Linked DNA regions of Diceros bicornis minor. The protein of the gene in region 1 purifies or fractionates together with the protein of each later gene. This does not show direct contact. Links are inferred from orthologs where the notes say so. Each region holds a gene or a part of one and is shown in the gene's direction. Other genes may lie near its edges. The genes, in order: MORF4L2, ACTL6A, EPC2 and ASH1L.

The links.
Region 2: the proteins of MORF4L2 (region 1) and ACTL6A purify together in Homo sapiens (affinity purification with mass spectrometry; 5 studies listed by BioGRID and IntAct, with this or other methods). This does not show direct contact. The link is inferred for Diceros bicornis minor from reciprocal best matches to the Homo sapiens genes MORF4L2 and ACTL6A.
Region 3: the proteins of MORF4L2 (region 1) and EPC2 purify together in Homo sapiens (affinity purification with mass spectrometry; 5 studies listed by BioGRID and IntAct, counting the BioPlex papers as one, with this or other methods). This does not show direct contact. The link is inferred for Diceros bicornis minor from reciprocal best matches to the Homo sapiens genes MORF4L2 and EPC2.
Region 4: the proteins of MORF4L2 (region 1) and ASH1L purify together in Homo sapiens (affinity purification with mass spectrometry; 5 studies listed by BioGRID and IntAct, counting the BioPlex papers as one, with this or other methods). This does not show direct contact. The link is inferred for Diceros bicornis minor from reciprocal best matches to the Homo sapiens genes MORF4L2 and ASH1L.

What each region holds. Positions count from the first base shown.
Region 1 is NC_080781.1:96,707,511-96,715,246, reverse strand, and holds the start of MORF4L2 (mortality factor 4-like protein 2), read left to right. Parts: upstream 1-4,730; 5' UTR 4,731-4,823; intron 4,824-6,215; 5' UTR 6,216-6,305; intron 6,306-7,736. UniProt on the Homo sapiens protein: Component of the NuA4 histone acetyltransferase complex which is involved in transcriptional activation of select genes principally by acetylation of nucleosomal histone H4 and H2A.
Region 2 is NC_080754.1:43,459,530-43,466,727, reverse strand, and holds the start of ACTL6A (actin-like protein 6A), read left to right. Parts: upstream 1-4,179; 5' UTR 4,180-4,312; coding exon 4,313-4,337; intron 4,338-7,198.
Region 3 is NC_080749.1:32,913,022-32,919,986, forward strand, and holds the start of EPC2 (enhancer of polycomb homolog 2), read left to right. Parts: upstream 1-3,945; 5' UTR 3,946-4,213; coding exon 4,214-4,366; intron 4,367-6,965. UniProt on the Homo sapiens protein: May play a role in transcription or DNA repair.
Region 4 is NC_080743.1:59,406,806-59,413,695, reverse strand, and holds the start of ASH1L (histone-lysine N-methyltransferase ASH1L), read left to right. Parts: upstream 1-3,871; 5' UTR 3,872-4,033; coding exon of another isoform or gene 4,034-4,138; 5' UTR 4,139-4,164; intron 4,165-6,890. Other genes in the region: DAP3 (small ribosomal subunit protein mS29), read right to left, coding at 3,026-3,277. UniProt on the Homo sapiens protein: Histone methyltransferase specifically trimethylating 'Lys-36' of histone H3 forming H3K36me3. Also monomethylates 'Lys-9' of histone H3 (H3K9me1) in vitro. The physiological significance of the H3K9me1 activity is unclear.

The sequences.
Region 1 (7,736 bases):
AATAGATAGAAAAACACTGTTATTAAAGAAAAACACTCACTGTTATTAAAGAAATACCATTTTGCTTAGACTTGAAATATCAGGGTTTTTTTTTTCACTTTTAAATTAGCCAAACATTCTTTTAAAAAATCATTCAATAAGCTAGTCAGAATCAAATGAAAAAAATATCAAATTAACCTTAGAATGAACCAATTTCATCTACCACGCAGAAGCCATGAGAGGACACTGGTGTCTCTCTCCACCCTCCAGAATAGACTGGCCACTACCTACCAGACCTAGGAAGACTCTTAGCCACGAGGTAAAACAAGCAAGGCCAGCAAATACTGTTGGGCAAGGCAGGTTGCACCCTGCACAAGGGTATCCCATTGAGAGGGAACAAGTGGAAGCTAAAATTCATTCTTCAGCTGCCCTGCGAAGGCTTCAACATCCTTGAGAAAGAAAAGTATTTTTCTCATTTTCCACTGAAGTGAACACTTCTCTGCAATTTTTCTGCCCCCAGGTAGCATGTTTCTAATTAGCACAAAGGTATTGTATGAGCAAATAATGGCCTTGAAAATTAACATGGAGATCTTGGTGTTCTGTGAAGGCTGGGACCATAAATAGTCTCTGTCTGGCCTTGAGCCTTTAAGCCAAACAAACATTGACCTAAACTATCTTTCTCTTCCAGTTGAAATCGATTACGAAGACAATGGTTCAACTGTAAATCCGAGATGGAGAAGAGTAACTTGTATGTTCTGAGAACCCACTAAGAGTCAGGAATCTGCTGAAGCTTTCTCCCACTAGTAAGTGGAAGGGGCAAGAGAGTATTCACATTTGAGAGGGTAGCATGGCATAATGGGAAAAAACAGGGCTTTGGAGTCAGAGAGAAGTCTGAATCTTTGCTCTGCCATTTACTCACTGGCAAGTTGGCGTGAGTACTTAACTTCTCTGGACTTCAGTGAGGATTCACTAAGATAAAAGATGTAAAGTGCTGAGCATGGTGCTGCCTGGCACATAGAAGGCATTCAGTTACTATGTCTTTTTCTGCTACTCTCCTAATCCAAAGTTAATTCACATTATTCACACCGTTGGCCCTGAGACTTCACCCAGTAGAGCATAAGGATGGGTTTACTTGACAGAATATTGGAGCAAGAGTCAGGAGATGTGGGTCCCAATGCCAGACACATACCCTGTTATAGTATGTTGGGTAAGTTACTACCCTTTCCTGACCCCATCAATAAAACAGGAGAACACCTCTAGCTCTGATGCTGAAAGAGCAGAGAAAATCACTTCTCTTGGGCACCTGCTATGAAATATACACTATGCTATGCCCTTTTACATACCTTATATACTCTAAATCAGCACTGTCCACTGGAACTTACTGTGATGGTGAGAATGTTCTGTATCTGTTGGTATCTAATATGATACTAATACTAGCTGTAAGTAGCTATTGAGCCCTTGAAATGTGGTTAGTGCAACTGAGGAACTGAATTTTTAATTTTACTTAATTTAAATAGCAATATGTGTCTAGTGGCTACCATATTAGATAGTGCAGCTCTAAGATTATGAAGCAGGAATAATTGCTCCCATTTAATATATGGTGAAACTAAGGCTCAGAAAAGTTAAAGAACTTGTTGAAAGTCACATTAATAGTAACTAAACCAGATTCAAAACCTAGCAGTAGATAGTTTAGCAGGATAGTAGGGTTGGATATACCAGGAATTACCCAGGCTCCGCTACTTACAACATACATGACAAAAGAAAAATAATTATAGTCTCTAGAACTCACTTTCACCGTGTATAAAATGATGATAAGCATCACCTAATTTACAGACCTATTCTTGGGATTAATGGGTAGAGAGCTATATAGAGTATGTGGCCCATAATAGGCTTTCAGCAACTGTGTTTCCTCACCCCCCTGATTCCTTCCTCACACATAGGAGAGGTTCAGACATAAAGTCAAAAAGATAACTGCAGAGTGGAGAGCATTTGGGAAACATAAAAGCAAGAAGGGAAACACTTATGAACTTTTATGTGATATCTTATTATAGAATGGAGATTAGGAAGGGCACAAAATCATCAAAATATTTCCATTCATTTGGTTTGCTTTCCTGCCTTCTTCTTGACGCTGTAGTCAACATTAGCCAAAGCAGGAAACAAGGTATCTGTAATGTAGTCTGAGGCCCAGAAAGACAAGCTATTATGGCTGAACAACAGAGTATTGTCAAGGGCTTGGGCTCCAGAGGCAGGTAAAGTTCAAATCCTGGTTCCCATACTTTTTGTATGCACTGGGAAAACAATTTGACACCTTTACACATTAGTTTTTAATCTGTAAAAGGGGACTGATAATATGTAGGGTGTCTCAATAAAAAAAAATAATTTTGCTTTACATTCTGTAGCACCCTCTAGTGGAGTGTACAAAAATAAGCATCATATTTCCACCCTCCAAAGCAGTGGTTTTAACTTCAGTGCGCATTGGAATCACCAACACAGTTTGTTATAACACAGATAGCCAAACTCTACTCCTAGAATTTCTGATTCACTAGGTTTGAGGTGAGGCCTGAGAATCTAAATTTCTGACAACTTTTCAAAAGATAATAATGGTGTTAATGGTGTGTCTGGGAAACACACTTTGAGAACTCCTCTAAATTCTACCCCCCTCCCCTGTGTATGTGTGCACACACACACTCATGTATATGATTGATAACTGAAAGAGGTATAATTTTTGTTTTTTGATTTTGATATATTAGTACTCCTAATAAGGATTTTGTGAGGAATAAAAGAATACCCATGTGAAGGATATCACACATCTAAAATATAGAAAGCATGCAAAAAACTAAGAATCACAAAACATAAATCCAGGGTCTCAGAGCTAGTAAGTGGTGGAATGGGGTTTAAAATTAGGTCTCTGACTCCAGAGACATAATAAAGTTTAGCAATACCACTATAGAAAATAGGGTGCGAACACGCATACCTAATTAAAATTTCAAGAGGAAAAGATCAGTTTTCAATATCAGGGTCCAAGTTCTTATGTGTCTTTACTGACTAAACAGCTACCTATATTTTCCATTGGGGGAGATGGTGAGCATTTGAAAAGGTGCACAGAAAGGGTTACAATCTTCATCAGCAGCAGTGTCTGGGGTAATTAATGAATTCTGACCCCCCAAAAAAGGCAAGGAAGGAAGAAAAGAGGGATGGAGGGGGGATTTTTTTTTTTAAAGAAGAAAATAAGGAAAAACATTTGATTCTCTGCCCATACGCCTCTGCCTGGTAGGGGTATTTCGAGAAGTTAATTTCATTTTTCCCTAGCAAAGATAGATATACATGATCCCTATGGATTGTTTGAAGAGTCCAGCAAATCAGAAAGAGGGGGGGACAAAATCCCATAATTCCAGGGACCAAACAGCCAATCCTTTGCTGGGATTTGGCGGCATCTAGTGGCAGACTCAAAAGGTATAAACCTCACCCAGAGAACTTTCTGGAAAATTAACTGAGTGCGTACTTGCCTGAAGGGCACTGTGCTTGGAGCTAAGGACAAAAAGGTAAGAGAGCTTCAGCCCCCACAGAAATTCGGAGTGTCTAGTATAGGGGAAGGCTGTCGTATATAGATATTCTCAGCATAAAATTATATTTGTGCCAGGAGAATTGCACGCAACTTGGGGGGGGGGGTTCCAGGCAACAGGAAAGAAGCGGCTCTTTGGAATTGCTAATATGGGAATGGGAGGGTTTGGCTCTTAACCACTGGAGGGCAATGGTTTAAAACAGGATTTTGGCACGGAGAAAAACGTGGGAAGAAAGTGTATTTTTAGGGTCTAAAATTAAATCGCTAGGGGAGACCTAAATATTTCTAGCAAAGGCCCTTTATTTCTGTTACGGTCGCCTTGACTTTATTTTCCTTTTCATTAGAACAATTTTCAAACATATGCAAAAGTATAGAGCCATCTATATAGAGCGCGCGCACACGTACGCACTGAGGCACGCATACCCTAGCTGCCGGACACACGCCGGGCCCAACGTTAGAGGCGCACGCCTGCGCACACCCACCACCTGCAGCGCCACGAGGACTGGCGCGCGCACACACTCCAACCGCAAGGCCATGCAAGCTCGCCCGCGCACCTATACACTAGCCCCCACACCACGCGGCCGCAGCACCCACCACCCCGACTCATACACATGTCAAAACCCCCATTCTTCCTTTTTTTTCCTCCAAGAGTTGCGCGAGGCTCGGGGGCGTGGCCCCACGTTTGACCTCGCGCTTCCCCACTCGCGGGAACCTTAGCTCATTTCCGCCCATCCCGTTTCCGCAGGCCACGTAGACACTTCCTTTCCCAGTGGGGAAAAAAAAAAACCCATAATGCCTCCGTGCAGGAAAAAAAAAATAAAAAAAAAAATAAACCTCTGGTCAAAGCGGAACTCTGGGTCGTGAAAATAGGCCACGTGAACACCCTGCCCTATAGACTTATGACCCAACGACTGTCGCGCTTTTGGAGGGCGGGCTCAGAACCTAAGGGGGCGAACGTCATTGGCCAGAGCCCGCACTAAAGGAGGAAGATGATTGGCTTGCCCTAAGCCTTAACCGTGAAGAAGCAGGTTGCTAGCGCCTGCCTTTACTGCGGCGGAGTGTCATTGCTGACGTGGTGGGCCTCGTCCAATCATTTGATAATGGAACATTCTAAAACTTAGACGAGACGATTGTTATTGGCTGAAGGGCATAAGCCCGCCTCCAGGGTGACGTGTCTGCCTATGGATATCAGTTGCCAGAGAAACCTGGCTTTACTATGGCGGTTGGAGGGACGGCAGTGATCACACGTCGGCTGCTGGAAAGAACTGGATTCTCGTTTCAGGTTTCGGGGTGGGGGTGGGGAGAAAGGGTTGACGATTTCCTCTTATCGTCGTGTATATAGACAAGGTTAACTAATGGCTTCACAATCGAGCAGAGCTGGATTCAAATTCCTACTCGCCAACGCCCAGCTTAGGCTGGCTCCTGTTCTTTCTGTGTCTCGGTTTCCATGTTTGTAAAATGGTGACAATAATAGTATCTACCTCAGAGACCTGTGTCTCAGAGGCGTGTACTGTATATGCGTGTATATAAGGCACTTAATACGAAGCCTGGCTCCGAAAGATATTAACCATGATTGTGGAGAGAAAAACCCGCGTAACAGAATGAGGAAAAACATAAATTATGTGAATTCGTTCATTATAGTGCTTTTCCTGCCCATCAACTTCTTCTTTAGAAGAAATTAGAGATATAAGAGAGACATATAAATCTTTACTCATGAAATAATTTGCTAATTGGGAATTACCTCAAATAGCGAGGATTGGAATTTTCCATATTGAAAAGTTTAAAAAAAGGAGGAGGGGGAGAAAGAGATGGAGAACGAGAGCGAGCTGGAGATGAACCACATGCAATAAGTAGGCCTTGTTTGGATCCTTATTCGAGCACACCAGCTGTGGGAAAAAAAAAACTGCTTAGGATGCGTCGGGGAAATTTGAAGACGGATTCGATATTTGATGTTTTTTTAAGGAATTGATGTCGATTTTTTAGACGTTATAATGATATTGTGGTTATGTTTTCAAATAGTCTTTATCTTGTAGAAATATGTATGAAAATATTTACGGATTAAGTCATAAAATATCTGGAATTGGTTTCAAAATACGTTGATGACTAGAATTTGCTTCAAAATAATCTCAGCGGTAGGGGGAAGTGGGGAGGGGTATAGATGGAACAAAATTGGCCCTAAGTTAGTAATCGTTTAAGCTGAGTGATGGGCATGTGGGGTTCCTTATATTCTGTTTTTATTGGTATGTGTTTGAAATTTTCCATAATAAAATACAGAAAGTCAGCTATTCAGTGAACTTAAAAAAAATCGGAGTTGGGGGGAGCGGTGGGTGGGGTTATAGATGAAACAAAATGGCCTTCAGTTGGTAATTGTTGAAGCTGGATGATAAATTTGGGTAGGTTTGTAATATTCCCTTTACATTTCTATCCATTTGAAGTTATTCTCAATAAAAAGTAAAAAAAAGGCAAAAACAAATTACTTTGTCAAAAATCAGGATGAATGTACGAAAAATTTGAAAATATAACCCCAAGAAAGGAAAAAGAAACACTTGTACATTATTTATCAGCTCTGTTGTCCTTTGTGTGTGATAAAATGTATTGACTGATAGAAGAGAAAACCATCATCTCATGTCTTTTTATTTTATGTCCTGTCCTGTCCCCTTGTTTGACCTTCTAGGCTATCATCAGAAAAGCTAAGTTTGCTATATAGTAGGGATCAGAAGATCTGATCCTGATTGCAGAACCGTCCCTGATTACAGAAACTTGGGTAAGTGCCTCCCTTCTGGCCTCAGTTCTCAAACAAGATAATTTCACACAACATTCCTAACTATCCAGAAATATTTTGAAGATAAATAAGCGCCTATCCGGGAAAGCACTCTAAATTCTAAGGGGAGGATGGAGCTAAGTCCATTGGTGCTTCCAGTATAGAAAGCGCCTGAACAACAGAGGGTTGTGTAATTTTTAATTCCTTGATAAAAGATACTGCAATTGATCCCCTATAGTTAGTTACATACATTCATATAGTGTTTTTCTCACTTTGTGGCATCTCACATGCAGCATAATTTAGTGGTTAAGAGCAAATGCTGACTTACCGAATTTAAATCCTGGCTCTGCCACTTCTTATGTGATCCTGGGCAAGATGCTTACACACTTTGTCCCTGAATTTCCTGGTATATAAAATAAAGATAATAATAGTTCCTACTTCATAGGATTGTTAAGGGGATTATATGTAAAGTACCAGGACAGTGCTTGGCACTGTGTTTGCTTTAATAATAATTATGGCTCTATTAGTCTTTCTGGTACATCCTGTTTTACACACACATGCACACTTACACTTCTAAAAGCAGTGGATACTTCTTTTTGGAATTGTAAAAAAATAATAATACTTTTGGTTTCTCTCCTGATTTTCCAGAAGCAGCAGTTACCACTAGAACTGAATTCTGAAATTATGACTTCTGGCTTGTCCTAACAATCTAGAAAGATTTTGAGTATATTGATCATATTTATTTATAAGGGAATTTCCAGGAGCTATAATTTTAACTAGCAAATAATAACCATATTCAGTCTGCTAACAGCTTTTATATCATTCCTTCTTTGTCTCGGACTCAAAAATGTCTGTTAAACATAAAGGAAGTGTTCCAAGATCGAAAAGAGAGAGAATTGATGTAAATGTAACTAACAGGGTGTATGTGCATTTAAAGGTTTATTCCAACAAACTGTAGATGTTGTTCACACTCATTTGTAACACCCATACACAAAGGTGTTAGCATTTGGAGTCTGCATTCCTGAATGGTCCATCACTTGCATGAGGAGATGAAGGAATGTTTTCACTCTCTTGACAGCTTCATTTTCCCATGGAGTCACTATATTTTTCTTATTTTTCTCCCTTCTGAAAGCTAGGTTGCAGAGGAGGGCACTGCCCTGGTGGAAAAGATGCAGTAGATGGGTAGGCACAAAATCCCTTTACAGGAGACCATTTGGAGAATGATTTAAGGGCTAAAGGAAGGGAGGTGGACTGTTGGGCCAATAGGAGCTCAGAGAAGGCAAAGGCCAGGGTAGCCTGAAATGGAGAAAGCCTCAAGGAGGAAAAGAACCTTGACCTGAGCCTCTGAGGATGGGCAGAACCTAGAAGGAGGGAAACCAGTCCGAATGGTATGCCTACAAAGGATACGATACACAGTGATAATTAACTGAACTG
Region 2 (7,198 bases), on another chromosome or scaffold:
TAAAGGGATAACAATATAACAGTAAAGACTTACAAAATCCACAGAGCATCTAGCACTTCATCTTCTTTCCGTTTTTGTCTTTTCAGGATTACTTTGTTAATACTATAACAAACTCATTGGCATGTTATAAAGGTACCAGCTATGACCAAATATAATTTCATTTGCTTCTTTGTATATCTAGGTCATATTACTTAAAATGGTTAGCAGATCTCTTACAATTCTAATGGAAAACAGATGTATGAATCTGAGTGATCATATTTCTATTGGTGAAAAACTCCAGACTCCAGGTCTTTATCCTTTATCTCAGGAGTGCTTGCATGACTGTTATATTTTTGGAATGTCAGTACACAAAGGATAGTACTTGCAGTGACTCTTTACACACACACATCCACACAAAAATGTTTACATTGAAATTTGTTTTTCATAATTACTAATGTCATATTTTTTTGCAGCATGAAATAGAGTGATTCTAAATGTACACAAATTTTTGTGTCATTCTTCTTAATGATAATCCCCTGAATGTTTCCCAGCTGGCATTAATAACAGTTGCAATGTTTTTTCAACTCTGAACTTGATGAAGGCCAAGACAGAGGACAAGATCAGTAACATTTTGTAATGACTGCTGTGTTTCCACAATCTGAACAGAGCTGGTGAAAAGAGGAGGGGGCAGCATTACATGCATTCTAGTGCAGCGTTACAAGAATGGAAGACCAGCGACCCCGTGAGGCGAAACTAAGTGTTGCACTGCGTATACAGAGGAAATTCTTGATGCTGGAAGATTACAAAGGATTTCTGAAAGGGCACTTATTTTTATAGATCTGGATTCTGAGTCAACCACTGAGCATCTACTGGGGGCTAGATAGGTTTACATACATGTTACTTCAATATCTTTTATTTTTAGGTTGACAAACGGAATATGCTGGCTCCGGGAGGAAAGTAGCAAGCATTGATTGTTTTGGTATGTTATGCCCTTGAGAATTGACGCAGAGGCAGTAACCTTGAGTTGTTGTTGTTTTTAAATATGACTAGCTATCAGTAGCATTAATGTAGGCTTTACATTAATGAGCCAATAATGAGCCAAGACTTGGGAGAAAACATGTTAGGTTACAGAGGAGGAATATTAATACAAAAAAAACCACCCCTCAGATATTTTATATTTTATAAAGTAGATTCTGCTGGGTCAGTATTTTTCTTTTAAAATATTTTCTAGCATTTTTCCTAACTCTGAAGAATGGAAGAAAACAAGGTGCCATAGTATACGTCTTGCCTCAAAGGAAACATCACTGAGGATGCCAGTCCCCGACATTGTTCTCTTAGGATGCTGAATACGTTTCCTTTCTCAACAGTGTCTTCCTCCAGCAATTCAATACTTTAGGGTCAATAATCTTAGCGCCCTATTACATCTTTTGCTGATTAACATTTATGAGAGGTTTAAGTGTGCACTTTTATCTGCATTAACATGTGATTAGTCCTGACATATCAGATGTACTCTGAAGTTCATTTCATTTGAAGTTCATTTCAATGGTTTGTTATTAAATAAAGTAATGTGTTCAATAACACATCAAGAGAACAGCTGACCTGAAATTATGATTGAATGAATGATCTGTTTTCTAATATCTTTCCAAATTATCAAATGAAGCAAAACCCTTCCTTTAAGCAAAAATATTGAAGCCTGACTTTCCAGTCTTTTCTCAAGCTGTCTTCTTTGTGCTGTCAGACTGAAGATTCTCGGCACTCCAGTGTGTTCTCTGTGGGAGGAGTCAGTCGCAGCATCTCAAGCCTTCCTGAAGGCTAGGCGTGTGGTCCTCATTAACCCCACTGAACTGTTTTGTTTTCTGATGAACTCTGAACTAGTGGGACAAATGTTTTACTCTTTTTCAATCCAAATATATCTTATTTCTCCATGCACAGGAGATTTTGGAGATAGTACTGATGAGAGATATTAATACATATAATCTAAGTTGCTATATATGAATTACTATGCATTTAAATGGTAAATTGGTTTAAATGGATTACTGTGTATTATAAACACAAATAGTATCTCTTCAATATTTAATTATTACCAAAGTATCACATATTTTAGAACTCATCAGCTTTATTAGTCAAACACAACAAAAAAACATGGAGTGGAAGGGCCGGCCCTGTGGCCTAGTGGTTAAGTTTGGTGCACTCCACTTTGGCAGCCCAGGTTCAGTTTCCGGGTGTGGACCTAACACCACTTGTCAGTGGCCATGCTGTGGCAGCAACCCACATACAAAATAGAGGAAGACTGGCACAGATGTTAGGTCAGGGTGAATCTTCCTCAGCAAAAAGAGAAAAACCAAAAACATGAAGTGGAAATAGAAATATTTTGGGGGTTTGATATGTGCCTACAGTGAGAGCTATAATCATGGGGGCAACAGTTAACACAGAGCACTTGGTGCACTGTGCTGGACGTGTTATATGCATTATCTCAGGGTGGGTAATCGCTTTCTATAAGGGGTCCAATAGAAAATATGTTCTTCAACTTAGTGTGCCACATGGTCTCTGTCATAACTACTCAACTCTGCCCTTACAGAGCAACAGCAGCCATAAATGAATAAGCTTGGCTGTGTTCCAAGAAAACTTAGTTTATGGTCACTGAAATGTGAATTTCATATAATTTTCACATGTCACAAAATATTATCCTTAAAAACATTCTTAAAAACCATTTAGGGCCAGCCCCCGTGGCTTAGCAGTTAAGTACATGAGCTCTGCTGCTGGCGGCCCCGGTTTGGATCCTGGGCGTGCACCAACACACCGCTTGTCCCGCCACGCTGAGGCTGCAGCCCACATACAGCAACCAGAAGGATGTGTAGCTATGACATACAACTATGTACTGGGGCTTTGGGGGAAAAAAATAAATAAATAAAAATTATAAAAAAAAAAAACATTTAAAAATGGAATAACCATTCTTAGCTCCCAGGCCATAAAAAAACGGAAAGCAGGTTGGATTTGGCCCTGAGGCCATAGTTTGCTGACCTTTGCATTATGTCACTGGGTTAATGGGGATTTCCTAAATGATCAGATATACTGAGATTATATTATTAAATGAATGGAGGTTTTCTCACTAGCCTTGTTGCCCACCTTACTATCACTTTCTACTAGCTGCTGGCACCACGATGAATCCGGCTTTATTCAACTGTTCCTAGATTAAGATTAAGAGGAGCCTATACGGTATGTTTAGACTCTAGACAAACCATTTAAGAACTGCTATCAACAACAAGGATATACAACCAATCTTAAGGATTTGAGTTGGAGTGACATGACCAGATTTGGGTGTTTTTATAGATCAAGCTGCTGCCTGCCGCTGGCCAAGAGGCAAAGGGACAAGCCATTGTAGTCATCTAGCAGAGAGACACCGGTGATCTGGACTGGGCTGGGAGAAACGGGGAACTAAGAACAGTAGACAGACTGGGGATGTATTTAGGATTGGGTACTCGCTTGGATGATTGATTACACTGTTTTATGCCTGTCTCACAGGCTAAAATAAATTGATCACACCTTTAAAAATAATTTTTAAAGTGCTACCTAAATTTAGTTGGGATAGCGTATCATCCTTTTCTTCTTTTAATTATTAATAACCATTTTAAAAATTACAAGATCCTATCGGTTTGTCTGATTTACCGATTCCTCTTACCCCAAAATGGAGCATAACATTTCAGTTTCTTCAATACAAAAGTTAGTTGAAAACACTTTCTCTGAAAAAAAAAAATTCTGCATTCACCGCAATCCAAAACCAGGAATCACTGCGTGGAGACACTCTCTCTCAATTTCCTGACTCCGTTTTGCAGAGGTTCACCTTCGTCCACCAGATCCCCACTGGATTCCCATCTCTCCTCCTCGCCTCAGCCTTACCCTTGGGTCCGCCCCCGTCACTTCCCTCCCTCCTCCTCCCTCTCCCGCTCCCTCCACCCCACTCTCCCACCCACCTGGGAAGCTCCGCCCCCCTCCAGTTCCGCAACTCAACTCCTTTTCTCCTTCCGTCGCTTTCCCCTCTCCCCGCCCCCATGGCTGCCTTCGATTGGGTAAACTGGCTGTGCCGCGACAGGGATGCAGCACAGCCTCGTTCTGATTGGCTGAAGCGTAGCCGGTCCTCTAGTGATTGGCTGATAAGCGGAGACAGCAAGTGTGACTGCGCTCTGGGGCGTGTGGACGCTGCTTTGTTGCCGGAGCAGGGTAGCGGTGGAAGTTAAGGGGGTCGGGGGCTAGCGCTTCTCGGGGCCCACAGTCGCGGCCGTTGCAGTCACTTCGCCCGGTAGCCTGTAGCGTAGGAGTCGCGCCGAGAGCAGCCATGAGCGGCGGCGTGTACGGGGGAGGTGAGTGTGCGGCCGGACGAGAGAGCGCGCCTTTTTAACGTGTAGGGTTTGTAACCGCCGCCCCCAGCCCTCCCCTCCCCGGCGGCCCCTTCCGGTCTCCCCCTTTCGGGACCCCGGCCTCCCCGCCCCATCCCCGCCCCGCGCTCCGCCCGGCCCCGGAGCCCACCCGGCTCAGCGAGCGCCTCGGGCGCCCGGAGTCGCCGCCCCCTGCGGCTCCTTCCAGCCTCGCCCCCCGGAGGAGCAGGGGTTCGGGGGTGCGCGCCGCCTCGGGGCTGTGTTGGCAGCTCCATCCAGGGGGCCGGCCCGCTGAGCCCCGGCTTGAGTGACCGGCCCCAGGTCGCGTCTCTCCCAGTGTCTCCATCACTCGGCTGTCGGGGCGCGTGCGCGCGCGTTTAAACTTGGGAGGTCCCAGCACTTAGCAAGCGCGGACGGAGCGTTTCCGCGCCGTCCCGTAGACGGTAAAGCGAGCGCGGGAGGTGGAACTGGTCGGAGGAGCGGCGGCCACTGAGGACGCAGCCTTTTGTCCGTCCGCCCCCGGCTTCACACCTTCCAGTAACTTCTGCCTGTCTGTTGAGTGTGGCTTCTCCAGAGTTACTCGGGGGCGGGTTTGTTCGGATTAATTTAGGAACGCAAGTAATTTAAGGATGCTTTCCTTGGATAGGCAGTGGTGTGATAGACAGATTACTACGGGCCTGGGAGTTACACAGACGTGGTTGTAATACCAGCCTCCCCGTTTGTTTAGCGCTTTGGCCTCGGGCAAAGGCCAAGTTAAGTTACTTAACTTTTCCCAACTTGAGGCTCCTTATTTTTGGAATGATGGTTCCTACCCAGTGGGGTGGTTGCGAAGGTTAAGTGAGATGATGTTGGTCCATGGATCAACGGTGTCAGCATCACCTGCAAGCTTTTCGGAGATGCAGCATCTCAAGCCCATCTCGAAATCTACTGAATCAGAGCCTCCGGTTTTGCGAGATACCTAGATGAAGCACCGATGTATTTGATTCGTGTTTTGTGTTGTGTTTGATGAGTTACAGAACAAGGAGACAAATCCAAAGTGTTGCTTTTGTTATTGTGTCTAGTAAGGATACTGTTTCGGAAGAGGATGGCATTTTATAGGTAGGAGATAAAAATAAAGTTTTCAAAGTTGTTAGTAGTCTTTAGAGTGTAGCTTGAGTCTCTTCTGAGGTGAGATGCTGACGCTCACCCCCTCCTTCGCGTTAGTGTTCTTGGGTTTGATTTCTCAAATGTGAGAGTCAGTAGTTTCCCATTTTTACTTTGGAGAAAGCCTAGTGGATCTCCATGATTTCCCTCTTCCCCATCTGAGATGCAGTCCTGACAGAAAAACTGGATCTACGTGCCTTTGCCTCATGGGGGCCGTGGGCTCTACTGACCTGCAGGTTCCCTGATCCAAGCACCTAGAGGCTGTCTATTGAGTATTTCCTTACAAGGCCTTGTTTAATATGACTGAGGTAGAAATGGGTACGAATAATGCCAGCAGCTAACGTTTATTGATTGCATGCTGTGTACCAAGAACTGTTCCAGAGGCTTTTCATGGAATTTATTTAAAACATACATTAATTCAGTTAATCCACAACAACCGCAGGAGATGGTACTACTATTCCCATATTATTGAAGAAGAAAACGAGGTATAGAAAAGATCAAGTAACCAGTCCAAAGTTATATAACTTTCTAGTAAGTGGGGAGTAAGAATCTCTGGGAAGATGAAAAGGCATTTCAGTAAAACTGTTTCCCATTTAAAAAAAAAAGGTTTTTGGTTTCTCCATAGGTCATTTTTCAAGCTTTTAAATAGATTATAAAAGAAACCAATTATAATAAAATATAGTTCTATGCTTGGACTCCTTGGGGAGGCCAGAGACCCCGCTCCTAGTTTACCCTTTCTTAGGTAATCTGCTCCGCTCCTACAGCCCCAACTTCTATCTAAATATTAGTAATTCCAATCTCAAATCTCTCTCTCAAGCCCTCACCTTTGTCTAGAGCCATATCTCGGACTTCTTATGTACATCAACATCAGTTCCACCTGAAGTCCCATGGGTACCTCAAATTCGACATATCTGAAGCACTGTCTTCTTCTCCCTGTCCTGCCCAACCTGATCTCAGCAGGGCTTATTACAGTGAGTGTCCCCAGTCATCAGAGGCACAAACCTGAGAATCGTGAATGCCTTCATGTTTCATACCCTTCATCAAGTTCTGCCAAATATTTCTGCTAAATATTTCTTTTTTTTAAGTTTTTTTTCCCAGTTTTATTTATTTATTTTTTATTTTTTTGTGAGGAAGATCAGCCCTGAGCTAACATCCATGCTAATCCTCTTTTTGCTGAGGAAGACCAGCTCTGAGCTAACATCTATTGCCACTCCCCCTCCCCCCCCCCCCCCACAAAGCCCCAGTGGATAGTTGTATGTCATAGCTGCACATCCTTCTAGTTGCTGTATGTGGGACGCGGCCTCAGCATGGCTAGACAAGCGGTGCGTCGGTGCGCACCCGGGATCCGAACCCGGGCCGCCAGTAGTGGAGCGTGCGCACTTAACCACCAAGCCACGGGGCCAGCCCTCTGCTAAATATTTCTGAAATTCCTTCCTCTTAAACACCATTGCCACTGCCTTGATTCAGACTCTTAACAGGGAACTACTACAGTTCCCTACAGGTATTGTGCTTCTGTCTCTTCACCTTCTCAATCCACCTTTCAAACTGCTGCACTGTGATCTTTCAAAATTGTAACTGAACATTAAAATTGTAACTCTGAACATTTTGGTACATAAATCCTTCAATGAAAAGAAAGAGGAGAATCATTCAGTGGTTTCTCATCATCCACAAGATAAAATTCAAATCATTCTACCTAGTTGATA
Region 3 (6,965 bases), on another chromosome or scaffold:
GACCCTCTGGAGCTGTGTGTTTGCAAATCTGTTTCCTTCAATTACATCTGTCTCATTTTTTCCTTGGTTAATAAAATACAGAGTTTTCGGGCTGATTATTTTTGAGCCTATCTGGATCCTTTGTGGAACTGGGAAGTAAATCGTCAGCTTATACACAAGGTGGCACCCTGTGATTCCAACCAGGTCTGAGAGGAGCGATGCTGCTAAGAGACCGAGCCATAGCCACAAATTTTTATTTAGCGTCTGGTTTTCCCACTACGGTAAATATAAAGGTGGAAGTAGATGTTTGGCATGTCACCACTGAGTGCAGTCTCCCTCCCTATGTCTCAAAGATTCAGAGTTGCCTCAGTAAAGGGCACTGGAACCAGGGGGCTGATTCCAGTTGATTGTAATGAAAGCAGACCCCACATTCAGATTACATATGGAAAACAATGAAGCTTTATTGGTACTGGGCTCATTCCTGGGAACATAAGGGGGAGGGGTGGGGATGCAGTCCACATACCAACCCAATTAACTTTCAATTGGGTTTGCCGAAATAGGGAGCCAATTAGAAAGAATGTGACATTTACAAAACTCTGAAATAACTGAATAACAACTGTGTTTACTAGTATTAAATTTCCTTTCAAAAAGTAATTTATTATTTGGAAGCTGCCTGCCCTGACTGTAATATGGGGAAATGGAAACTGGAATATAATCCCAATTCTTACACTTACTTGATCTTTATTCTAATTTAGACTACATGTAGACAGTGGTTTTATTTTTGATATGGCTTTAAAACTATTTTTAATTCTTGGGTGTTGTTACACTACACTTGCTTGGCTAAATGCATGTCATTTGGAATTGGTCCAGAGCATATTTGAAGTGGACAGATTTGGGAATGACTGTACTCAGTGCATTGTATGTGGAAATTAAAATAGGCTATTAGGCTGCACAATCATTTGAAACAGGTTTTGATAAAGATATTTTATAACAGGATCTACTTCAAAAGTTAAAAAGATATTTTCTGTTTTTAGCACAAACAAGTATATGGGTATTCAACAAATAGATTAGAAATAAACTTTATGAAAAATAATATTTGTATACAAATAAAAGCTACTTTCCAAATGTGAAACAGAGGCATTCTGGTTTGGGCACTGAATCGGAAGCCAAGAAAACACAGGCTGTGTCTCACTTAAAAAGCGTATTGTGTTATTTGCCTCAAACTGTTTTATTCCCAGCTATAATCATTACCTACAGGGCAAGAGGAAAGTGGAGATTTGGGGAAGAAATCTGTTACATGGTCAAAGAAAAAGAACAACAAAACAACAACTACTCCAGTTAAAACCTGTTCCTCTAATAGAATTTCAGGTTTCAAAAAAATTTCTTTGAATTGCTTTAATTGGTTCTAAAATTCCTATGCCCAAAGGTAGGAAGCTGGAGAGAAATGTAGGCCATGATAAGAGCGAGTATGGGCAGCAATGGCTAGGTCAGGTGACAGGCCAATAAGGTAGGTGAACTCCAAGCTGGAGTGGAATGGGGTCAGTGTCACTGAATTTCTCTAGGGAATATCAGTCAACAGATATATATTAGGTGCCTGCTATGTGTGAGGCACAGAACTAGGGATACAGTGAATAAGGGAGCAGATGTAGTTCCTGCCCTCCTTGAGGCTATCGCATCTCTAGGCTCTGGGTTATGCACTCTATTGGCTATTGGTTAAAAAGTCTCAGTAATTTGGATCAGCAACTTTAGAATGTTGAATGGTCAATAAACCGAAGAGCTTGGACAGCAGCTTGGCAATGTGGAGAAAACAAGAGTTTTGGAGTCAGGCTAGACCTGGATTTGAACCCAGTTCTGTGAGTTATTAGTGTTGAAACTTGGCAAATTATCTGAGCCTTAGTTTCCTTATTAGTAAAATTATAATATTTCCTCATAGGGTTATAATGAGAATTAAGTGGACTGCAATTAATTGAGATAATATATATAAAGTACCACTATAGAGACTGGTATATTTTCAATATTCAATACTTCCTTTCTTGAGACAGAGTAACAATAAATACAGGGAATAGAAGAAAGCTATCCCTTCTGAGCCTGAGAAGTGCTGGGCACTCAAATAAAAGCCCTGGATGACTCATTTCTTCAAACATCGCTTCCCCACACCTCCTCCCTTTCAGGCTTGAATCCAGTGCTGACCCCTTCCCAACAACGTCTTGTTCTCCCTTGCAGAGAACTGGAACTGCTCCAGAGGGTATCGCTCAGAGCAGGACATGCCTATAAGCTTGAGGAAGGTATTGCTTACAAGAAGTGAGTCACAGCATCTCCATTGTTTCCAACAACAAAGTGGATGGAAAACACTCAAGCCCGGCTAAACAATGCTGGAAGTCTTGCTGGGCCAAACAGTTAGACTATTTAGACACTGCCATGAAGTCCATATTCATCATTTTGCCTTCAAAGCGGGAGGTGGAGAGAAAAGGGAGGAGGAAGAGGAGGAAAAAGGGAGAAGGGAAGACGTGGATGAGAAAGAGGAGGTAATGGAGGAAGAGAGTTTTGATGTCATACAGAAATGACTGCAGGAATCAATTTTTTTGACTTCTGGACTTCAGAAACCATCTACTTTTCTCAGAGCTAGGCAGAACATTAATCAATTATTAGAAATGGTAACATGAGTTACACTCTTCCAGGGATTTTGTAGGAAAACTGTAATGCTTAAAGACTAACCAAGAAACTTGGTTAAATGAGGTTGATGTCAACAATACCTGGTACTTATTTGAGTCAACTTGATTTTCCCTTCTCTTTAGAACTTTCTCTAACCAGCTCAGGCTAAAGTAACGCCTCCTTTCTCTGAACTTTCCTGGCAATTATTGCCAGTACAACTCATTTGGTAATTAATCATGTTCTAGTGCCTGTGTCATCTTTCTTGTATAGTTTTCTTCAAGTACTTACTTCTGCTATCATTTATCTTTCCAGTTGCCTTGTTCTTCAACTATTTACATCTCTTACTACTATCCATCTTTCCAACCGTCCTGTCATCCCAATAAGGTGAACGCTCCATGAAGGCAGGAACTTGATCTCAAACTTCTTTGAGTCTTCCACGGCACTCAATGTTTTACGCACATCTGCCACTTTGGAAATGTGTGCTGCCTTGGTTAAATTTTATAAGTTTAACTCTTAGGAAGGCTAATATTTTTGAAGTCAGTATCCACCATCCACTAAATAACTCTATGAAGTTTGGGGGACAGGTTCAAGGGCACTTGTTGCGTCTGGCAGCCTCAAACATGAACCCTCACTGCTGCCATTAGCATCCTCCCCGCGAAGGCGAGGATGCCTTACCTTGGAGAGCTCTTTCGGTTAGGTAGTGAAGAGGGGGTGCGGGAAAGAGGGCTGGCTCTGAGTGCGCGTTTTCGGGGCGGGCGAGACGCGGCAGGTCTGCGCCCCTCTGAGTGGGCAGACGGCATGGACCTTCCGCACGTCCCGGGGACGCGCAAATTGGAGGATGCGAATTAGCCGGCGCTCGCGGCGCCTTGGAGATAAGCGCTTTATAAGTGCAGGCTCGGTGGCGGCTACTGTGGCCCTGGTTGACGTCTCCCTTTCCCGCTCACACACTTCTGCACACACGCGCTGCTCGGCGCCTTCCTCCCGGGCGCCCAGCGAGAGGGCTGTCGCGGCCGCGGAGACAGAGGCGCACGCTCGGGGGCGCGGGTTAACTTGCGCACCTGGCACCTGCCACACGGCGAGAGCGCCGGCCGGCGAGCGGAAAGCCGCCGCGGCCGCCGCCCCCTTGTGCCCCAGAGCGGCCGGAGGCTGAGCACGCTCCCGCGGGCCGGCCGCGCCGCGGAGAGAGTGGGTGGGCAGGCGAGGGAGGGGAAGGGAGAGGAAGGAGGGAGGGAGGGAGGGCGAGGGCGAGGCGCGTCCCCGCGGCGGGGGCGCGCTCTCGCGCGGGCTGCCGGGATCGCTCGCCGCCGCTGTGGTAATGTCCGCCATGTTGGCCATGGCGCAGGGAGCGGATCGGGCGGGCGAGCGGCGGATCTAGTGTGTGGAAGCGGCCGCGGGCGGCGGGGGGCTGTTTTCGGGCGGGGTGGGCGCCCATGCTGTGGCCGGGGGCAGTGAGGAGGAGGAGGAGGAGCGGGCCGGCCGCGCTGCACTGAGGAAGGAGGTGGAGGAGGCGGCGGGAGTCCTCCCCCCCTCCCCGCCCGCCCCGCCGCCGCCGCCCGGGCTGTTCCTGTAAGGCGGGGAGACAATGAGTAAACTCTCCTTCCGAGCGCGGGCGCTGGACGCCGCCAAACCGCTGCCTATCTACCGCGGCAAGGACATGCCTGATCTCAACGACTGCGTCTCCATCAACCGGGCCGTGCCCCAGATGCCCACCGGGATGGAGAAGGAGGAGGAATCGGTAGGGACTCGAGTGTTTATTACCCCCCCTTCCCTCCTCCCCCCTCCCTTTTGTCAGTCGGGCCTCGCCATTCACAGAGCGCTTTACGCTCGCTGGAGGGCGCCGCTGCCGCTCCAACGCATGGGACTCTACGCCGGCGGAGTAGCGTAAACCCTCTCGGCCGGCGCAGCGCCCGCCCGCGGCCGCCATGTTGTTGCGTCCCAGTGTTGTGATTAGCTCGCAGCGCTGCTTACGCTGCCGTAAGGGGGCCTTGCCGTAAGCGGCGGCCGGGAATGGCGCAGGGGATGTTCTGGCCGCACTTGGCGTATGGCCTCTGTTTACCTTTTTTTTTCCCCCCTCATTCGGCGCGGGGTTGATTAATGGGCGAGGGATCTTTTGATTAGGGAAGATTTTTTTTTCCCCCTCACTTAAAATTTAGTTTTGCACTGGGTTCTCTTTGAAATGACTTATGGAAAGTAAAGCGCTTTCAAAACACCCGTCATCTTTCTCCTAGCAAGGTAATCCTCGCTCCCTGGCCCGCGGTGGTGCAGCGGGGAGAGGCGGTGCAGCACTGCGGCGGGGGAGGCGGGGGCCGCGACTGTCCAGCGGCATGTAGCGTTAGAGAGCTGCTGACCGGCCGGCTCCGCGGCCCCGAGCGGGACGGCTCTGCCTGCCTGCCTCACCGGGATGCGCCAGCTCAGTGCGCAGCGTTAGGAAGGAAGCGGGGATGCTCAGCAACGAGCTGCCGGCGCTGCGCTATCCCCGTGCCGCGTCTCCGGTGATTGTCATCGGAGGGGGGGGTCTTTTAGAAGTTGAAGATCTAGTGCATGTAAATTGACAGTTGCATTTTTAATAGTACAGCGCTTTTTGGCAAAAATGTTGCTTTTTTCCTCCCTGATTGGTTGAATTTTGCATACGGTTGGATTTCATCTGGCATGACAGTGTTTATGACTCTGGAGTGGTGTTACTTGCGTGCGAAGTTCATAGTAACTGCACCCTCCAGAATTTCTTCAATGAACCTGCGGTCCCGCCTTATTGTCAACCCCGGGTGTGCGTGGATTGGTTCTCTTGCTTCTGTGACTGTCAAAAGAAAGCTCGAGGTTTCTGTGATTGGTTTTCTCTTTTAACTGTTAATATTGCAGGAAATGCTTTTATGCCTCTGATTGGCTGCTCGAGTTCTGACCTCATTGTATTACCCTGTTATTACTAATCTTTGCTGTGATTTAATCACATTTCTCTTTAGTGTTTGATTGCTTGAATGTTTTGCACTTTCAGTAGAAAATGAATATGGCGGTAGTATCAGAATGAATATTCAACGTTCAACTTTTTTTAAATAAATAAGATGAAAACTCGACGTTTATCCTTAAGGTTTAGAGATAAGTACTTCCTGAGAATTCTTTTTGTTTTTTAAGTAAAAATTATTTCTAACTTAGCTCATTTTTCCATGGGAAAGATAATTAAGAAAGTTGTAGTATGTACAAGAATTAATTGAATTAAACTTTAAAAACCACCGGTTTGGATTCCAAAATGTTAAATTTCTGTTAGTTATTTTCTGGGTTTCGACCCCAAAAGAAAAGTGGCTTATGAGTCTTAAAGTATCAATAATATATGTAATTACTTGGATCCTATTATTTTGTTTTGGGAAGAATTTGAATCAAGAAACTTGTTCTAGAATGAACAGTTAGCCCCTGGACGATGTATTAGGTTTTGCAAACAATGATTAGCTATACTTAATTATTGCTTTAGGTCCTTAGTTTGTCACGTAGATCTTGATATTTTATCTGAATTTAGGAAGAAAATTTGCAGTTTAGTTTTTTTTAGTGATGTATTAAAAATAAATGCTTAACGTCATCACAATTTTGTACTATTGACTTTTTCAGTAAAACTTGTGATTTTCAATCTAGAGCATGAGTGCTAAAGTTGGATTATTTTAAGTAGCCTGCTTCAACTGCTCAATTTTAGGAAGAAATCCAAATTCTGGTAGAACTAGAATTGAAACCTAGGACTTCTGACTTTTTGTCCTGTCTGCCTCTTTAATGTTCAAGTGGAGGTTCTTAAAATCAAAACAAAACTAAAGAATTCCTGACAGTTAAGATTTATAAGTCTTTTGCTTCCCAGAATGTCCAATTAGGGTGTTAGTTTTTTCTTTTTCTTTTTTAAATTAACATGTAAGTCAGAAGACTTGTGCTTTCGTGAGTGACAGCCAATTCAATTCTCCCAGTCATAATTACAGAACTTCTGTTATTAAGCAGAATTATTTGCTCATTTAAAGAAAAATGTTTTGCTTTGATAAACAGTTCTAAGCAGCAGTAAAATATCATAAATTTCAGAAATATTTTGTGTTTCACTAGAGTTGTATTTCAGTTTAATTTCCATTATCAACATGTTCTAACTAGTTACCTTTATAAGTTTTTTTTTTTTTTTTTGAGGAAGATTAGCCCTAAGCTAACATCTGTTGCCAATCCTCTTTTTTTTTTTTTTTGCTGAGGAAGGTTGACCCTGGGCTAACATCCATGCCCATCTTCCTCTACTTAATATGGGACGCCGCCACAGCATGGCTTGATAAGTGGTGCCTAGGTCCATGCCAGGGATCCGAACCCGGGAACCCCAGGCCGCCGAT
Region 4 (6,890 bases), on another chromosome or scaffold:
GTGTAACCTTGAGCAAATTACTTAAACTTTGTCTCTGTTTCTTCATTTCTAAAATGGAGATAACGGCAGCATCTAAATATAGAATTGTTACAAGGATTAAATGATTTATAAGTTATCAGTTTATTACTACACCTAAGTTTCTCCAGTTTACACAGCTACCAAGGAGCAGAGCTAGGCCTTGAACCCAGGCAGTCTGAAGTGTACATTTCTACTTTGATAGAAGGCAATAACCTGAAGCATAAGTTTAAAATCTTGGTGCCCAAACAAAAATTTCAGAGTTCTTCCCTTGTTACATAGAAAATTATTTAGATTATTATGCTTATACAGCATTTACCCATAACTTGTCAAATGTAAAGTCAATCCTGATGATATTCTAGTAAGTTTTATCTTCAAAAATTTCTTTTAACATTTGAAACCTTATTTTAAAAGTTTATATTGAAGAGCTTCTCCTGTTTATCTATATTGTATTTAGATAACATCCCAGCAAGGAAGCACCATGAAATAAATGTTTAATTACTTCTATTCCAGTGAGGAAGTCTGAGGGCAGCTTAGCTAAGACTGCTGCTGTACAGCAATATCCCAGAGCCCAGCAGTGTATTTACAGCTTGGAAACTGATGCCAGGAGAAGCAGAACAGTAGGGAAATACTGGAAATCTAGGCAGTTTTGTTGAGTGCCTATCACTTTGCTTAAAGAAAAGTTTCAGTTAACCCATACCCTCATTTACATTAAAGCACAGACCACAATCCAAGGCAGAGTACTTTGGAGGTTAATAATGATTTGACTCTTTCTGTATTAGTTTCCTATTGCTGCTGTGACAAATTACCACAACCTTAGTGGCATAAAACAACACAAATTTGTCATCTTAGGGTTCTGTGTTTAGAAGTGCAAAATCAAAGTGTCTTGCAGGGTTGTATTATTTCTGGAGGCTCTAGTAGAGAATCTGCTTTATTGACTTTTCCAGTTTTTAGAGGCTGCCCTTTCATCTTCAAAGCCTGCAAGAGCCAGTCAAGTCTTTGTCATATTGCATCACTCTGACAGACTCTTCTGTCTTCCTCTTCCATCTTTTCAAAACTCTTGTAATTCCAGTGGGCCTATCAGATAATCCAGGATAATCTCCCTATTTTAAGGTTAGCTGATTAGCAACCTTAATGCCACCTGCATCCTTAATTCCCTCTTGCTATGTAACATAACATATTCACAGGTTCTAGGAATTAGGACATGGACATCTTGGGGGAACCATTAGTCTGTCTTCCAAGCCTTCCTTGGTTCAAATAATTCAGTGTTCACTCATTCAATATGGTCATTTTATTGAGCACTTAATATATTTTAGTTGCTAGTAGGCACTGGGGCATATGCAAAAGAACAGAATACTATCCTATTTGCCTATACTTAGCCGACAATTCATGAATCAGTGGAGTTACTGAATGCTAGTTGAAGGCAGAGACCCTAAGTATGTAACTTTCTTTATATACTGGTGTAGCGGAATTCCATTAGAAGTGTTTTTTCTTTGTAGTGTACACAATTATGTTACTGATGAGAAATTTTACACGAAGGCAATGTGGTATAGTGAAAAAAGTTAGGTTTTTAAGAGACAGGCAAACTAAAGTCTAAAGATAAAATTACTGGACTTCTCTGAGCCTCAGGCTTCTCATCTGTAAAATGTGAATAAGATGATCCATCTCAAAGTGTTGTTTATTATAAGGATTAAAAACAAACACATGTTCTTCTGGCATGGTATTCCACAAATGTTAATTCTCCTTCTCTTCTCATATTTTAAGTATCTAACATTCATTTCAACATTTTCCTAACTTGCTTTGCACTAGACTATAGAAAAAATGTTAGACATAGTCCTTGCTCTCAAATTAAAAACGTGGTTGGTAGAGTAACACACTTGCATACATGACACAATTAAAGATTAATGTAAAACTTCAATGGGCTCCATGAAAGACTTGGCACTTAAGACACAGTTAGGAAAAGCAAATATATAGTGAGGTAATTAAGGCTGAATTCCTCTTTACCTTAAAAAAACAAAGCAAGCAAACAAAGCCTGGTCCATATATTGAAATATGGTACGGGGGAAATTCAGGAGTGTCTACTTGAACTTCAGAGCTTGACTAGACCTTTGAGATTTAATCTAGCACAATGATTTTCAAACTATTCCCTGGATCCCCTGAAATTCACAGATGTGAAGAAAAGGGACACCCAAGTAAATCCCCTCCCTAATTTTTTCTGCTTTACTGGTTAGGTGAAACTAAAAACTAGTAGATTAGATAAACTTCGGGATTATCTGTGGATTTTAATAGTCCATAGTTCTCCTGAATTCCATCATCAAGTAAACGTTCGTGCAGGATTCTGAGAAACAAGTATTAGTAACCACAGAAATCTGATAGGCCTAGTTTTGCTTTGTTTTATTAACGACTTGGTTAGAATAGGACACAAACTACCAATTACACCCACAAACCTTATCAACATCAACAGAACAATAACATAATACTCTGCACTTTCCCTGTGCCTAGGAGCTAATTCTACTTTACATATATTATTTCACACACCAATTCCAAAGGCAGATTTGGAGTTAACTAATTTTTATGTCTAGTTTTTCGTTTCTTCTTGATAAGGAATTAAGAAAAATAACTTTCCGAAGGACACATAAGACACGGGCGATTCAGTCCAAAACTCAACTGGAAATACGTGATTCCTTATCCTCTAACATCAGGCTGCCTAATGAGATTGAAAATGTAGTAGCCATGCAGGAGGAAAAAGTAAAAGTGCACAGAAACACCATCGCGTATAGACAGTTGTGCGAAATGCGAGAAATCTAAGCTGAGCTAAAAAAAGAAAAAAAAAGAAAGCCGACCACGGCGCCGGTTCTTCTTTGGGTCCCAAGTCTGCAACATAGAACCCGGAAAAAAGCCCCCTAGGACGGTCGCCGGTCCTCCTGGCCTCACTCCCTACCTCACGGAGGTGCGGAGTCCCGCTCCTTTCCCTCATGGGTACAACCCCCGCGCCGGTCTATTCCCTCACCGAGAGTCGCGGACCAATTCTCCCGACGCGGCGAACAGCAGATACTATCAAAAGCTGCTCCGTAGTGCTCGTCCCGCAGCAAAGAAGCAAGCTCGGGTCGAACGGCAGGAAGCTACTCAACGCGCAGCCGCCGCGGCCTCCAACCGCCGGCCAGCGGAGGGGGGCTAGGCCGCCCCCGACCCACTCGCCGCGGCCGTGAGGAGGAGGGGGGAGGCGAGCCGCGGCGCCCCGGCCCGGGAGGTGAGTAGCCATGGGTCTCTGTCCGCCACTCAGATAATTCCAGTCTTAGCGGCAAGCTCTGCCTGCTTTTGCCTACCTTTTCCTCCCCCGCTCCTGCAGCCGACAGGAATGGAACAGTCCCGCGGGGGGATTGTGGGAGGCGCACGCGCGAGGGGTGGAGGGTATGTGGGGGGGGCCGGAGGAGGAGGCGGCGGCGGCGGCCGTGGCGGCGGTTGGTGGCCGTGGGGGCGGGGAAGGGGGGGAGGAAAGACGAGGAGGTGGAGGAGGAGGCTTGGGCTCGCGCCGCTGAAGGTACGCGTGAGGGCCCGTGCCAGAGCCGGCTTGACAGGGGCCGAGGGGAAGTGGGGGACCGTGCGAGGAGGCGCCCCTGAGCGAGCGCGTACGGGCTGGCTGGCGCGCAAGGCGGCCGGAGGCGGTGGTTGGTGGGAGCGGCGAGCGACGAGCCCAGATACACTCCGGCGCGTGCGGGCGGGCGTGCGCGTTTCGCCGCCCGAGTCGGGTGAGGGGGGAGGACGGAGGGGAAGAACGCGAGGAGGGAGGAGTGGGAGGTGGGGGGGGGCACGAGGCGCCCTTCGCTCGCTCCCTCCCTCCCGAGGAGCTGCCGCCGCCGCCGCTCTGCCGCCGCCGCTCCCGCCGCCATTTTGGGTTCGCTTTGCGGAGGGGGAGACGATCCCCGTCTGGGTTGCGGGACCCGCCTCCCCTCAGTTTCCCTTGCTTGGCCCCACGCCTTTCCCTTCTCCTCTCTCGCATTTCCGCCAGTCCGCTCACCCGCTGGCCGCCTCCTGACAAGCGGGAGGGATCCACTGTGGACCAAGGGAAGCGGAGGAGCCTAGTGGCGGCCGCCCCCTCTTCCCCACTTCCCTGCACTCTCATCTTTCTCGGCCTCGGCCTCTGACACGGTGAGTAGAACCGCTTGGGGAGGCCTTTGGGCCTAAGTACTCCCTCCGCGACTCAATCCTTGGCTTCTTGGGAGCTACTGTCATCTCCCGGACCTGGACCTCCGGGAGAGCGGTGGTAAGGATGGGGGAGGGGAGAGAAGGGAAGGGGATCCTGAGCTTACCGGGAAGTCCCTCCTGGCGGGGGTGAAGGGGTGTCCCTGACAGGCGGGCTCCTGGCTTGGGGGAGGGGGCAGGAAAGTAAGCGAGTGGAGGCGGAGTCGGCTGTGCCCCTGACAGGTTAGTTTGTGTGTTGTGTAGACACGATTGGAGCATCCCCCGTAGTCCAGTCTGTGGCTGTTTAAGGAATAAGACTGGCAGGAGGGCTGATCTTTCGAGAGTAGTTTACCTGTATGATCAGGTGTGTGTCGTCCCTGACATGCTGAACTGTATGTAGGAAAGACAGAATGATTTCAGTGTTATAAGTTTAATAAATGTTACTGGTTACTTTGTACATGGAAAGACATGTTTTTGGTCTGGAAGACAGATGGTCTGCTGGTGTATGGCGGCTGTGTTTGTGTGTGTATGCAAGGAAGGAAAGTGTTCCGGAAGAGTTTGCTTGTGTTTGTGTAAGTGTAATGGAGTTCCCCTTATAAGTTAGCTTATTTTTGAAATAAAACTTGGGATATTCCCTGCTGGCTGATGTGTGTGTGTATTTTAGGTATTGGGAGCGCCTTGTTACCTGTTGGGAAAGAGAAGTCACAGCAGTATTTTAGACAATATAGCATATATTTGTGGGAGAAACTTAAACTGCTTGTGGTCTTAAGAGTAGTTTGTTCCTCTGAACAGAGTGAATTGTGTAAATGTGAAGGTCTAGAATATCTTTAACAGAATAGTTACTATGAGGGTATAAAGAATGGATGGCCTTTTTGTTGACCTGAGTTTATATTAACGCTTTATAATAGAATAACGCTGTTATATTTTTCAGATTTTAAATCTTTAAATTCTAAATCTCTTTGTGATTCTAAATATCTGTGAAATGGTAGAATAGATGTTTTCTCCCATTTTACACAATACGAAATTGAGGCATAAAGAGATAATTTTTCGAAGGTGGCATGTTAAATTGGTTACAAAGTTGGGACTATAACTCCAGTATTTTGACTACTAGTCCAGCAGTGTATTCACTATACCATGATGCCTCAGGAGGTCTTTGTCAGGCAAATCTGAGTTTATTGGAAAGGTAAGGGCTTATATGACTGGTTGGATTGTATTTGGTAGAGATCAGTTATGTCAGACATGTATGTGGAATGTAGGTTGTCCTTTCCAGGTTGGCCTGTGTGAAATGGTTATCCTTGATTATTTTTTGTTTATGAAGGAAGCAGAGCATTTCTGACACTTGAGTTTGTGTGTTTGAGGAAGGGATGTCTTCTGTAGTTTAACTTGTACTAGAGCAGCTACCTGGGGCCTGACAGCTTAACTTTAAATGTATGGGAAGAAGGATCTTCTTTCATTCGTTCAACAAATATTTGTTGAATAACTACTCGTTATATACTGTTCCTGCCTTGGGGTGAGAGTAATCAAGGTGACCCTGTTGAAACAGCCTGGATGCATATGAGGGGACTTGTCTTGACAGTGGTATATGTATTAAGTCAGGCAAAGCAGACAAGTCAGTGGGAAATTGAAACTAGAAAACCTTCCTAAAAAGTCTTTTCAGTTTGGAGGGAATTTAGATCTTCCAGACATTTTAATGTGGAAGGATACAAGTGTATTTAAGAATCCAACAGGATGGCCAGTTTGTGATAATGTGTGCCTTCTTTTGCATTATCTTTTGGCATTTATGAGTAAACAGTTTTTGGGATCTGGGAATTGTTGATATATGTGTCTGTAGATATTGGAACTTTTTGGCAGAGCTGAAGGAATTCTTCGAAAGACTTAATTTTGTAGTAAGGATCCCCTCTATGAATATGAAGGAAGAATATTTGAACTAAACCAACTTAACTGTGTCTCTCTGGAAAATGGAATGTTTTTGATATGCTAGATTAGTGGTTCTTAAAGTTTTTTGGAGTCACTTGTCCTTCTGAGAATCTGATGAAAGACCCTCACTGTACAAAATGAGCATAAGCACAGTCACACAAATGGTGCATACAATTTCAGGAACTTAAACTGTAATGAAGTAGAACCAATTTATATTCAGGTCTCATTTGAAAGCCTTTTTATATATATATATATGTATATATTTATATATATTTATATATATATATGTATATACTTATATATATTTATATATATATTTATATATATATACTTTGGGAGTGGACATGTTGATATGAGTTTAAGATCCAAGATTCTGTGACAGTGTTTGAGCATGCTGACAGTAAGGAGAATTTTAAGATCCATGTTTTTTATTCTTTTTGTTTTATTCTTTATTCTTTGCAAACTTATTTCTGTAGTGTTAGAACATGCTTCTGAATTAGGTGATAAGAGAATATAGCACAAGTGTTTATAGCTTTATTCTTTCTCATTGTGTTTTTATTCTCAAACTCATCTCTATCCAGTTTTGCATTGGGACTGAGGTGTTTTGAAGCTCATTTCGTGGAATTTATCTTATTTATAACAAACATTATTGAGTTAATTCTATGCAGGGGACACAAATATGAGTAATAAAATAATAGGCTTTTAATCCTATTGAAGCTATGAATTGTATGATGGCAGGGGCTTTCAAAAGGGCAAGGAGGAGGGAAGCATGGTCC